Oryctolagus cuniculus: one gene and its partners. The protein of the gene in region 1 purifies or fractionates together with the protein of each later gene. This does not show direct contact. Links are inferred from orthologs where the notes say so. Each region holds a gene or a part of one and is shown in the gene's direction. Other genes may lie near its edges.

Evidence for each region.
Region 2: the proteins of CDK16 (region 1) and CCNY purify together in Homo sapiens (affinity purification with mass spectrometry; 3 studies listed by BioGRID and IntAct, counting the BioPlex papers as one, with this or other methods). This does not show direct contact. The link is inferred for Oryctolagus cuniculus from reciprocal best matches to the Homo sapiens genes CDK16 and CCNY.
Region 3: the proteins of CDK16 (region 1) and CCNYL1 purify together in Homo sapiens (affinity purification with mass spectrometry; 4 studies listed by BioGRID and IntAct, counting the BioPlex papers as one, with this or other methods). This does not show direct contact. The link is inferred for Oryctolagus cuniculus from reciprocal best matches to the Homo sapiens genes CDK16 and CCNYL1.

Annotation. Positions count from the first base shown.
Region 1 is NC_091453.1:32,755,177-32,759,264, forward strand, and holds the start of CDK16 (cyclin-dependent kinase 16), read left to right. Parts: upstream 1-1,224; 5' UTR 1,225-1,820; coding exon 1,821-2,129; intron 2,130-2,358; coding exon 2,359-2,566; intron 2,567-3,183; coding exon 3,184-3,317; intron 3,318-3,416; coding exon 3,417-3,542; intron 3,543-3,629; coding exon 3,630-3,686; intron 3,687-3,785; coding exon 3,786-3,900; intron 3,901-4,088. UniProt on the Homo sapiens protein: Protein kinase that plays a role in vesicle-mediated transport processes and exocytosis. Regulates GH1 release by brain neurons. Phosphorylates NSF, and thereby regulates NSF oligomerization. Required for normal spermatogenesis.
Region 2 is NC_091444.1:107,291,454-107,295,831, reverse strand, and holds the start of CCNY (cyclin-Y), read left to right. Parts: upstream 1-1,556; 5' UTR 1,557-2,103; coding exon 2,104-2,257; intron 2,258-4,378. UniProt on the Homo sapiens protein: Positive regulatory subunit of the cyclin-dependent kinases CDK14/PFTK1 and CDK16.
Region 3 is NC_091434.1:32,089,911-32,094,263, reverse strand, and holds the start of CCNYL1 (cyclin-Y-like protein 1), read left to right. Parts: upstream 1-1,539; coding exon 1,540-1,765; coding exon of another isoform or gene 1,766-1,871; intron 1,872-3,749; coding exon of another isoform or gene 3,750-3,845; intron 3,846-4,353. Other genes in the region: microtubule cross-linking factor 1-like, read right to left, coding at 682-1,871, 3,750-3,845. UniProt on the Homo sapiens protein: Key regulator of Wnt signaling implicated in various biological processes including male fertility, embryonic neurogenesis and cortex development. Activates the cyclin-dependent kinase CDK16, and promotes sperm maturation.

The DNA of each region.
Region 1 (4,088 bases):
TGCTGGCGAGGTCAGGACTCAGGAGGTGTGGTGAAGTGTGAGGAGTGTATCCTCATCAGTGGTCTGTGTGCTAAGTGGGGGCCAGGATCTGTGGGTGTGAGAGTAGTCTGAGGATGGGTGTGTGTCCTTGAGGGTCAGGAATGATCAAGAAAGACCTGTGATTTTTTGGGGGTAGAATTGTGTGTCCAGTTCTTCCTCCCTCCTTATTCTTAACTATGAAAAACTCAGACAGCTGAAATGATACTATTTTGGAAGTTTTGTTGCATATAATTGTTCAAGTATCTGTTCACAGGAACCTGCCCAGGGTGCACACCCCTTATTGGGAGTGCTGCTTGGTACATATCTTGTTCCCCATCTTCCTAAAACCTCTCACCACAACTGAACTCTTCAACATGTTCAGCCCTTGGCATTTCCACTCAGAGGCCGTAGTTCATTCTGGCTCCCTCCCATCATCCTTTAAGTCCTGCTAACAGTCTCCCCAGCCCTTGCCCCATTGCCTATCACAACATGCGAAGCAACTGGATATCTGTGCCATATGGGGACACAAGATAGTCTTTGGGAGCTGGGCACACTTTGCCTTCTTCGGCCTTGGGTCCAGGATTGTTTTGTCGCTGTTATGCTGGGTTCTGTGTGGATGGACCTTGTCTTCTCTTAGGTCTTTCTGCTAGGCTAGTCCCTCTACCCCTCCATGGGGGTGGTGAGTTCAAGCAGGCAGGAGTAGGGGTGGGAACTGCTTGGCTAAGCACCAGGTTTCAGGGTAACAGATTTCTCTCCTCAAATCTAGCCCCAGCCTCATCCTCGACCTCCTATCTAGCTCTACTTCCCTTGGGCCAGGGCCATCTTGGGCCCTGCTGTGAGTCCAGATGGTTCCTGGGCCAGGTCTTTCCCCCTCCTTGCTGGCCCAGCACCGAGGAGGAAGTAGAAGAAGGCCAGCCTAAGCCTTTTGGTGGCCCCATTCCCTCCAGCAGCCCATCTAGGTCATCTTCCTGTCGATGCCAGCATCTTTGGAGCACCCTTGTTGGGGGTTGTTCCTAAATAGCAGGGACCCCCTGCCTCAGCAGAGATGGTTCCTAGGCTCTCAGCTCCCTGATGCAGTCATTTCTGCCATAAGCGCTTTTGGGCATCTGCTGTGTCAGTCACTATTCTAGGTCCTCAGGATATAACTGTGACCTAAACAGAAAGACATTTATCCTGGCAGAGCTGATCTTCTAGTTGTGGCAGTGAGGAGACAGTAAAGAATAAAAGAAACCAATAAGTAGATGTGTTATCTCCAAGGAGGTGATGAGTTCTGAGGGGGATAGTTGGCAAGATGAGGGAGCTCAGGATGGTTGAGATTTTAGATATTCACGGAAGCTTCACGTGAAAAGTTGAGATTAGATCAATGACCTGAAGGGAGTGGGGAGTGAGCTGTTTCAAAATCTGGGGGAAGGTATTCCAGGTACCAGGAACAGCCAGTGCAAAGGCCCTGAAGTGGGACTCTGCTGGGTGTGGTACAGAACAACAACTAGGAATGATCCTCGAGGTAACAGGGCAACTGAGGTATAAGACCTTGTAGGCCACATTGAGGACTGGGCTCTTTATTTGGGGTGATAAGGGGGCTGTGGTTCATTTTCAAGTAGAGGAGAAATGTGACCTGGCTTTTAAAAATCTGGATTGGGCCTGTAGGTGCCTACCAGATCAAACATTTCCAGCAGTCCTGAGGATAGCTGGTCTATATTGAAATGGGGGGGGGGGTCTCTCAACCCAGTGGTAGGGTCTGAGTAGGATCCTCCCTGCATCCCCTACATGAGCAGACTTAATGGTTTGGTTCACTTGTCACCATGACGATGGTCACTGAGGGAAGCACGGAGTTCCTTATGGCTAGAGAGAGCATTCTACCTTGGCAGTTGGGGGTGATGTGGGGCTGGTGCCAGCGGAACATAATGTTTTATGGGCGTGCCCAGGGCCATGGTTCCTTGGTTCTGGGAGAGCCTCCTGTACCACCCAAACCTGGGTCCATTACTGCCGCTGCACCTGACAATACCTGCTGTGGAGCCTTCTGCTCCCACAGTGAGGCTGCCACCCTAGAGACCATCAGTCTACCTAGTGGGCCCTTGCCCTCAGCCAGCCACCCAAGTCTGAGTACCCAGGTAAGCCCCTCAGGAGCAGGGCCCAGGGGCTGGTTCTGGGTGGGCGGGCACTGACAAGGGTCCCCATCCATACGGCTTTCTCAGGACTCCTGAACAGGGCCAGGGGCCCACAGTGGGTGGGCAGCCACTGACACAAGTTCACGTTGGTGTTCCCTACTAGGTTGTGGGTTTTAGGGGCCTCCTAGTGGACCAGCAGATGCTAATAGAGGAGCCCTGTGCCCTTACTCAGGTCGCCATGGATCGGATGAAGAAGATCAAACGGCAGCTGTCAATGACACTCCGAGGGGGCCGAGGCATAGACAAGACCAATGGTGCCCCAGAACAGATAGGCCTAGACGAGAGCGGCGGTGGCGGTGGCAGTGACCTTGGAGAGGCCCCCACACGTACCGCCCCAGGAGAACCTCGCTCTGGACGGGGCCCACTCAGCTCTGCACCAGGTGGGTCCACAAACTACTCCTTGGTCTCATGTCTCTAGGCTGGTTCCCAGGTGCTGCCTCCCGATCCAGTTCCTCTTAGACTTGTGCTCCCATTTTCTTCCCCTTTCCTGTTCCATGTGTGCTGTTTTTTCCCCTTCCCTGCCATCCTCTCTCAGCATTCTCTGTCCAACTGTGCCCCTGTCCTTGGCTTTGTGCCAGGCCCCAGGGGAGGAGACGTACCTTGCATGTTGCACCTGCCCCAAGGTTTCCTCTGCCCTTCTCCTGCACCCTGCGGTGGCCCCCTCAGGCCTCCTGGCACCTACCTATCCAGTGCACTTGCCTCCCAGAGCGCTTGGCTACCTCTGCCACCACCTGCCTATTGGCCCCAGTTCAGGCTAGCTGCATTTTCAACTCACCCTGGAATGGGTACTCCACTAGGTGACTGTTGTCCGTCTCCCTCTCTGTCCTGGACCTGCCTAAGCTCCCCTAGGCCCCACCACCTTCTCCTTGAGGAACTGTGGGCTGCTCCAGGGGCCATGCATGCACATGTATGAGGAGGGAATGTATTGCATGGGAGAGGGAGTGTCTTGGGGTTCCTGACCCCATCTGGCATACCCTCCCCCTCTCCCTGCCACCAGAGATTGTACACGAGGACTTGAAGATGGGGTCTGATGGGGAGAGTGACCAGGCTTCAGCCACGTCCTCGGATGAGGTGCAGTCTCCAGTGCGAGTGCGCATGCGCAACCACCCCCCGCGCAAGATCTCCACTGAGGTGCTTAACTCACTGTTCGGGTGATGGGAACTGGAAAAGGGGGCTGGAGGTAGGGAGGTAGAGCTCATGGTCCCTTTTCGCCCCTGTCTTGCTTGGTAGGATATCAACAAGCGCCTATCACTACCAGCCGACATCCGGCTGCCTGAGGGCTACCTTGAGAAGCTGACCCTCAATAGCCCCATCTTTGACAAGCCCCTCAGCCGCCGCCTCCGCCGTGTCAGTCTGGTGAGCACTTTCTGTTCCTGTCCTCTCTCCTTCCTCTCCCTGTCCCCTCCCCTGAGCCTGCTTCGACCTGCCTACTTTATCCCACAGTCTGAGATTGGCTTTGGGAAATTGGAGACCTATATCAAGCTGGACAAGCTGGGTGAGGTGAGAGACAGCCAGGAGACCCACGGTGGGGATGAGGGTCAGCAGGAGCTCCCTGCAGCCTCATTACGCCTCTCCTGTCACACTTGCTCACACCCCCAGGGTACCTATGCCACCGTCTACAAAGGCAAAAGCAAGCTCACGGACAACCTTGTGGCACTCAAGGAGATCAGGCTGGAACATGAAGAGGGAGCACCCTGCACCGCCATCCGGGAAGGTACAGATCCCTGGCCCACCTTTCCCAGGCTTTCCTCACGACACATGTACATCCTCACTCCATGGTGTGAGCAGAGACAGAGGGTTCTGGAACTCCCCCTTCCAACACACTAGCATCTATGAGAATGCCCATCAACCCTATATCTGGGTAATAATCAGAGTCACCAGAAATCGGTTCCTGCTTGGAGG
Region 2 (4,378 bases), on another chromosome or scaffold:
CCCATGTTCAGTGCCTTGCAGGCAGCTGCCAGCCAGCCTTGCCTGGGTGGGTGGCCAGCACAGCACCATTTTGCCTCGGTGCCGTCCAAGGGCTGCAGTTCCTTCACCGGCTCAGATCATCGCCTGGCAGCCATCTATCTTCCAAGGACAACTTCTTCCAACCCAGTTCAGGGCACGGAGCTTTTTATAAAGTACTAACCCCGGCCAGCGCCGCAGCTCACTGGGCTAATCCTCCACCTGCGGCGCCGGCACCCTGGGGTTCTAGTCCCGGTTGGGGCGCCGGATTCTGTCCCGGTTGCTCCTCTTCCAGGCCAGCTCTCTGCTGTGGTCTGGGAGTGCAGTGGAGGATGGCCCAGGTGCTTGGGCCCTGCACCCCATGGGAGACCAGGAGGAAGTGCCTGGCTCCTGCCTTCAGATCGGTGCAGATCTGCCACAGCACACTGGCCGCAGTGGCTGTTGGGGGATGAACCAACGGAAAAGGAAGACCTTTCTGTCTCTCTCTCTCTCACTGTCTAACTCTGCCTGTCAAAAAAAAAAAATAAAAATAAATAAATAAAAATAAAAATAAAAAAATAAAAAGCACCAAGCCTAACCATATAACCATTAGTGTAACCATTAGTGTAGATGGACATATGACACAGCCTGAGACAAGCCCAGGAGAGGGCGTTTGGCACACTGGTAAGCCGTTGCTTGCGGTGACCACATCCTGTACCAAGTGCCCGGCTTGAGTCCTGGCCTTCCACTCCACCTCCCAGGAATGTGTACCCAAGGGAGGCAGCCGGTGATGACGGCTCAAGTACCGGGGTCCACGCCACCCATGCAGAGACCCACGTGGAGTTCCTGGCTCTCGTCTTAGGCCTGGTCTTGCCCCAGCTGTTGACGGCATCTGGGGAGTGACCCAGAGGACTGCAGCTCTCTCTTTGCCTTAGAAATGCAATACAGATGTTGCACCCACCCCCAGCCCCGACCAGACGGAGAGAATTACACGCTACCAAACCTCTGGCACGACGTCCACACATGACCGATGCGGGGTCGGCGTCACTGCCTGGATCTGTCATTAAGGACAGTTTGGGCATTTTGTCGCCCTGGGCCTCCACTGTCCTCGGACATAAAATTACGAGGATTGTGCAAGTTTTCTCGTCTTCAAAATCCCCTTCCCAGAGGGCCCTGTATCCGGAGGGCCTGCCGCTCCCAGGCCCCTAACGCTGCAGGGCGAAGCCAAGGGGCAGTGTGCGAGTCGTGGTCACTCGGGTCCCCAGTGGCTGACGTCCCCACCTCCCGGTTACCCGCCCTGTGAACGCAAAACCGGTACTTCCTGGTGAAAACAGGCCCCCAGGGTTCATTTCAGAGCTCAGAAGCCGGCGGCCAGGGACTCCATCCCGGGCGCCCACGTGGGCCCTCGCCGGCCGCCTCCCAGGGTGGGCACTGGCAGGGCGCAGGGCGCAGGCGAGCAGGCCCCGGCCCGGGGGCCCTCTCCGCCCCGCGCCGCCGGGACCGCCCCTCGCGGCCGGATCTGCTTCCAGGGCACCGGGAAGGGGCGGGCGCCGGGGCGGGCCGGGGCGGGGAGCGCGCGGGGCGGGGAGCACCGAGCATCCTCGCCGCCGCGCCGCGCCGCGCTGCGCTGCGCCCCGCGCCCACGCCGCCCGCGCCGCCCGCGCCCACGCCGCCCGCGCCCACGCCGCCCGGCCTGGCGCGCGGGTCCCCGGCGTGAACCGGAACCGCTTGCCGAGGCCGCCGGGAGCCGGGAGCCGGGCGCCGGCCGGGGAGCGCGGGGGGACGCGGCCTGCGCGGCGCCGCCCGCCATGGCCGCGGCGGGCTGAGCAGGGCGCGGCGGCCGCAGTCGCGCGGACCCGGGCGCTCTCCGCCGCCCGCAGGCCCCGCGGCCGGGCCGGGCCGGGCCGGACCGGGCCGGGCTGGGCGCGCGCGCGGAGGCCGAGGGGAGCCGGGGCCGCCGCGCCCGCCCATGGCGAGGCCGCGCCGCCGCCGCCGCCGCTGCTGCCGCCGCCGCTGCTGCTGCTGCTGCTGCTGACCGGGCGGCCGCGCCTCGCGCCCCGCCGCGCCCCCGCGAGGAAGCGAGAGGCGCGCCGGCGGGGGCCGCCGAAGATGGGGAACACTACCTCGTGCTGCGTGTCGTCCAGCCCCAAGCTCCGCCGGAACGCGCACTCGCGGCTGGAGTCGTACCGGCCCGACGCCGACCTGAGCCGCGAGGACACGGGCTGCAACCTGCAGCACATCAGCGACCGCGAGAACGTGGACGGTGAGCGCCCCCCGGGGGGCCTCGGGCACGCGTGGGGCGCGCGCGGGGCCCCCGCGGAGCTGCGGCCGGCGGCGGCGCCTCCGGAGCGCGCGGGGCCCCGGGCACTGCGCGCGAGGACTCCGGGGCGCCCCTCGCTCCCCTCCCCCGATTCCGGGTCGAGGCTAGGAAAAGCCTTTGAAATTAAAAATAAATAACTGAATCAGTAAGAAGGCAGGGGAGGGCCGCGGGGCGGCGTCGGGGGTCGCTGTGCGTGGGTGGGTGGGCGCGGGTGGCCCCTGCGGGTTCCCCGAGCGGCGGACGCCGGGCCGCCTCTGAGAGACGCGGGATAGGAAGTGCGGGCTGCTGCCGGCTCCCCGCAGCCGGGGGAGTGCGTGACGCGTCCCTTGCGGGTCTTGGCGTGCGTGGGGCGGCAGGCTTGCTGGACGATGTCCACGCAGGAGCCGGTCCGCAGTGGGCGCTTGGTGGATGGCGGTCCCAGTGCTCCTGGGACACTAACCCACCCCTGGCTGTGCGTGAGCTGCAGTCCTGCTTCGACACCTGGAAGGGTGTCGCGGCCAGATCTGATAGCCCAAGCGCCTGAAAGAAATGCTTAGAATAGAGGTGCAGTGTTTTGCCTGAGGAACGAATGAATGAGTGAATGATTGCAGAAGGCCCTTGCCCAGCCGTGAACTGTGTCGGGCAGTAGCGTTTGGGAATAGGTGGACGCTTTGTTGCAAATCATGGATCATCATCAACAGCAGAGTTAGAGAAAGAGAGTTTCCATAAGCTGGTCCACTCCCCAGATGGCCGCAACAGCCTGTCCTGGGCCAGGCCGGAGCCAGGAGCTACTTCTGGGTCTCCCACGCGGGCGCAGGGGCCCAAGCACTTAGGCTGTCTTCCACTGCTTTCCCAGGTGCATTAGCAGGGAGCCGGATCGGAAGTGGAGCAGCTGGGACTAGAACCCGCGGCCATATGGGATGCCGGCACTGCAGGTGGCAGCTTAGCCCAGGATACCACAGAGCCAGCCCCCATCAAACACTTCTCTAAAGTGTTTCTTTGAAAGGCAGAGCAACAGAGAGCGAGCGAGCGAGAGCAAGAGAGAGAGATATTCTATCTGCTGGTTCCCTGCCTAGGTGCAGCCGACAGCCAGGGCTGGGTCCGGCGGAAGCCAGCAGCCAGGAACCGCAGGTCTCCTGCGTGGGTGGCAGCGACCCAGGTACTAAAGACTTCAGGTGCTGCCTTCCGTGCTGGAGCAGGGAGCTGGGTGGGAAGTGGAGGTGGAACCACGCACTTTGATCTGGGCTGCGGGGTCTCGAGCCACGGTTAACTTGCCACGCCTCAGTGCCTGCCCTTGGTCAAGCATTTTTGAGAGAAGGTTGGGAAGTGCAGGTTCTAATCTGGGCTGGGGTCCCCTCACTCCACATCCTGGCTCCTACGATGAGGCATTTAAACAATGTTCTGTCTCCCAAGCTCGGTAAGTAATGGTTCCGGGACTTACCTAACCAGCGCTTCTCAGTGTTGCTTTCGGTTGGACCAGAAGTCTAGGGCTGGATGTTGGCATTAATAGTTTATTTAGAGCTCCCCAGGGAATAATAAGATGTAGCTCCGCTTGGTAATTGCTGGCTGGGTGGAACTTGGAAGCGTTACCACCTGCTGTTCGGAGACAGTTTTGGTAAAAATTAGTGTTGGAGGCTGGGAGAAGGAGACAGATTTATTTAAATGGCGTGCATATCCATATATATATATATATGTATCTATGTATAACTATCTATATTTATATGTATCTGGACTCCTGAGTTAGGTTATCAGATTCTTAAAACTACGTCTCAACAATTCTTTTTATTTTTTTGACGATTTATTTATTAATTTGAAAGGCGGAGTTACAGAGAGGCAGAGGCAGAGAGAGAGGTCATCCGTCCACTCATTCACTCCCCAAATGGCTGCAAAGGCCGATCCAAAGCCCGGAGCCAGGTGCTTCTCCTGGTCTCCCATGCGGGTGCAGGGGCCCAAGCACCTGGGCCATCCTCCACTGCCTTCCCAGGCCACAGCAGAGAGCTGGATGGGAAGTGGAGCAGCCGGGCCTCAAGCCAGCGCCCACGTGAGATGCCGGCCCTGCAGGCGGCGGCTTTACCTGCTACGCCA
Region 3 (4,353 bases), on another chromosome or scaffold:
GGGAGGCAGTAAGTAGGTGATGGCCCAAGTAGTTGAGTCCCTGCCAGCCACGCTGGAGACCTGAATGGAGCTCTGGGCTCCTGGCCTTGGTCTGGCCCAGCCCTGGCCAGTGAGCCCTGGGGAGTGAGCCAGTAAATGCAAGATCTCTCTCTCTCTCTCTGTCAAATAAAGGAAAATAAGCAAACATTTAAAAAAAATCCTTCCTTTTTAAAGAAAGATCCTACTATGTAACGTCATTTCCTTCCAAGTCCGACTTCTACCTTTACGTTCACCATCAGGAATGGCCTGGCCCCACCCTAAGCGGTCACGTGATCCTGGGAAAGTTACTTCGCGTGTGGGTCTCAACTTCATTCTGTAAAATGGGACGGTTTTTGAGGGTTAAATGAATGTCTCAGTTGGAGGAGCATCGGGCGCATCGTGGCCAAACGTTAACGATTTGTTACCATCACCTTCAGCGAATCAGGCCCGTGGTCCCCCACTGTGGTTCTCGGTTTTGTTCGAGGAAACCTTCGTTGTTGTCAGTGGAAGGCGGCTGTGGGCGGGAGAAACAGGCGAGAACGCGGGGCTGGTGTGGCTCGCGTCCCGGCGCGGGGAGGGAGCAGCGCGGGCCGTTTCCCCGACGAGGAAGTGGAGAGGTGACGTGTCCTCAGGGCTCGCGCAGGACGCGCGGCCACAGCCCTTTCAGGGCCCCCGGTCTCTCCGAATGGTCAGCCGCGGGCGAAAGCCAGCACTTGGGAAGACCGGAGCGCAGCATTTGGTCACAGAAACGGTCGGCAATTCAGGTGCCACCAAGTTTGGTGAGCAAAGGAAAGCCGTCGGACTCGGAGAAACCGAGTTGCTGGCGGAGCAGGCGCTTTCCTCACCGGGGCTTTCTGCAGAGCCCCCCTGCCGAGGGCTGCCTCGACCAACGAACGCCCCCGGCGCTTCCCGCAGGACCGGAAAACTCTGGGCACCGGGCGATGAATGGAACCCGGAGTCCCGGACGCACCTCTCGAGGGGCGGGGCACCGCGCGGGGGCGGGGCATTGTGCGTCACGTGCCTGGACTCCCCGCGGGCGCGTGTAGGGAACTCTGGGCATGATTGGTTCCTCGTAACCAGGTGACCACAGGACGCGTTCCGGTTGGTAGGCGCCAGCCAGAGTGAGTGGCTTTCGGTCGAGAGGCGGCGGCGGAAGAAGGAGGGGCTCCGACCGCGCTCTCTGCCGGCAGTGGCTGCGTCTCTCAGCGCCTGGCGGGTCCCCACCCCTTTTAAATAAGCCGGGCTGGTCGCCGCCCTCGCAGACAAGTCGGCTCGAGGGAGGCGGCGGTGGCGCGGCGGCGGGGGTGCGGCCGAGGCCGGAGCCCTGCCCGGGGCCGGGCGGCAGGGCGGGCGGGCGAGCGGCGGGCGAGGCCGTGTCTCTATGCGCGCCGCAGCCCCGGCATAGCCCGGGGCTGCCGGTGCCGACCGCGCCATTGTTGGGGGAGGGGGCGGCTGCCGAGCGCCGCGGAGTCGGGGGCGAGCGAAGGCGCAGACGGTGGCGGAGAGGAGCGGAGGCGCCCCATGGGGAACACGCTGACCTGTTGCGTGTCCCCCAATGCCAGCCCCAAGTTGGGCCGGCGCGCGGGGCCGGCGGAGCCGGACTACGAGTCCGAGATCTACGAGGCGGCGGCCGGCGACGCGGTGGCTGTGGCGCCGGCACCCGCTGCCGTGGAGCCCACCGAGTTGGATTTCGGAGCCGGCGAGGGCCACCACCTGCAGCACATCAGCGACCGGGAGATGCCCGAAGGTGAGGAGGAGGAGGCGGGCGCACTCTGGCCTCCGCCGCCCCCCGGGTCCCTCGGGAGGCGGCCGCCGCCTCGGGTCCTTCCTGCCGGGAGCCGGCTTTCCCTGGGCTGGGCACCGGGGCTGAAGGCTGGCTCAGCTCCGCGTCCCCACCCCTTATTCTTTCTCTGACGATCTGTGCCGTTTGCTTCCCTTGGCCCCACGCGAACGTTCAGTGCTCTGTCCCCAACCCGGCCTGGGACCCTCCTGTGCGCGGCCCTTCCTGTTTGCAGCGTTGTTCATCTTCCCATGGGACCTTATCAAGACTTTTTGGGTACATTCTCTGCCTTTTCGCAAATGAAAATTGAAACACCCGGATTTCGGGGTGTGCATCCCATCTCCGCCCTCGCCCATCCTGATGGTGCCTAAGGGAAGGAGCCAGGTAAGGACCGAGGTTCCTGCCACGCACCCGTTGGAGTAGTGGATACCCCGCACAGTTCACACATTTAAATTCAGGCTAGATGTTGCTTCCGGTGTCTGCCTGGTGTTAAGTGGACTGTTTGCTGCCCCCATCCCCCGCCCCGTCGAAGCTGCCGAGTTCCTTCCAACTATCATTTGAACAGGAAAATATTATGAAGGGCTTAAAATAACTGTGAAAGGTGTGAAGCGCTACTGCCAGGACTGCGGGAAAGTGTGTGTGTGTGTGTGTGTGTGTGTGTGTGTGTGTGTGTGTGTGTTTTAAATCCGAGCAGTTTAGGCATGGAGTTCAGATTGCTTAAAAATTCCCGTTTTGACGGAAATCTGTGTGCAGCCCTCCTCCGATGACTTAACCGACTTCACGTACCTCGTCTGTTCTGGAGGAGAGGGTGGGGAGGTGTGGGAGTGGTTCCTCAGTGCTGCTCCAAAGTTTCACACGAGACAAATGCCCATCGAGAACTCTTGACTTGTTAAGGTCTGGGAACTAAAATGCCAGCCCCCGGCCGCGGTAGTGTTTGGTTCCCTGGCTCCCTCCCCTCCCTTCCCCCCACTTCCTAGACTCCGAGCCGAGTTCTTTACTGAGAATGCTGAGGGGGCTGGGCGGGGGAGGGAGAAGAGAGGAGGAACCACGTGTGTGTATGTAAAAACTTGGGCTCTTTTGGAAAGCTTTGAATCTAGGTAAAAATAATTCTGGCCAACACGGTGGTCCTGAATGACTGAGTGCTTTGAAGTAGAAAACATTGTAACGTATTTAAGCCCAGGTTGGCCCGTTTGTTTCATTTAAATGTCAGGGATGATTTCATTTCCAGGAGGAAAGATCTTAAAGGTCTTGTAATTTAACTTTCGTTGGGCTCTTAAGTTATTTAAAAATGAGAAAGATTAAGGCTCATGATGGATATTCCTGTGTAACTGGGAAGTACTCAGTTTTCAGCAGACTCAAAAATTGTGAAGGAATGAACAAAGGTATCATGTGAATTAATTGTACCTTTAAACACAGTGCATGTAAGTACTTGTGAAAACAGCACTCTACTGGGTGGTGCAAGGTAAGCCCCCAAGTGATTTTACAAACCAGGTAGTAGATGGGTAGTGATGGATTACAGCCCAAAATAAGATCTTTATAGACTTCTTTTGAGATTTACGGTGTATTTTCATGTGCATCTCATTTAACCCTTCCAAATACAAATAAGGCCTGTGCGTGATCTCCCAGTGTTGCTAACAAATGAATGAAGATCTGAAATGACTAAGCAGCTCCTGGATGGAAGAACTAAGGATTTCCCTGCTGATGCAGACTGACATGGCTGTGGTAGATAGGCCAAATTCAGTTCTTCAGAAACTTTAAGAACTTTTCAGGATGCATGTCATATGTCACCTGCAAAGTAGGTCTATCTCTTAGAACATTCCTGCTCTATTAAGAAATTTTTTTTGGTTTGTTTTATACAACTCAGAGGCAACATTTTATCTTGCCATCCTATATCTATATACCCATTCCCTGTGATGTATAAAAGCATGGATGACAGATGACTGCAACCTACCCAGCAGATAACTGTGGTGACGGATTTTAGAGCTTGTTCTGACAGTCCGGAGCTGCAGCTCAGAGGCCCCTGGAGGGAGGAACCTGAACAGGAGCCCTGAGGAGAACGAGTAAGGTCCCAGGCATTAGGCACAGGACTGTGTTGTGAGCACAGAACTTACCATTTTATGTTTGTTACCATGACAGTTAAATTTTTACCCAATTTTATTATTACTCAACAACTTTTTCCTACAGCGTTTTGAATTCTGGCTTTCGGAGCTTTGCTAATCTGCTGGCTAAAGTTGCTCTCATGTGACCCCTTGCTCGTCCTCCCTCTGAAGGGTGAGGGTACACAAGGGATTGGCAATGTGGTGTAGAAAAACCTCGGAACAATAGAGCTTTCCTCTTTTCAGTAGTTATTTTTTTTAAAAAAAGATTTATTTATTTATTTGAAAGAGTTACACAGAGAGAGGAGAGGCAGAGAGCAAGAGAGAGAGAGGTCTTCCATCTGATGGCTCACTCCCCAGTTGGTCGCAATGGCTGGAGCTGCGCTGATCCGAAGCCAGGAGCCAGGAGCCTCTTCCAGGTCTCCCACGCAGGTGCAGGGGCCCAAGGACTTGGGCCAT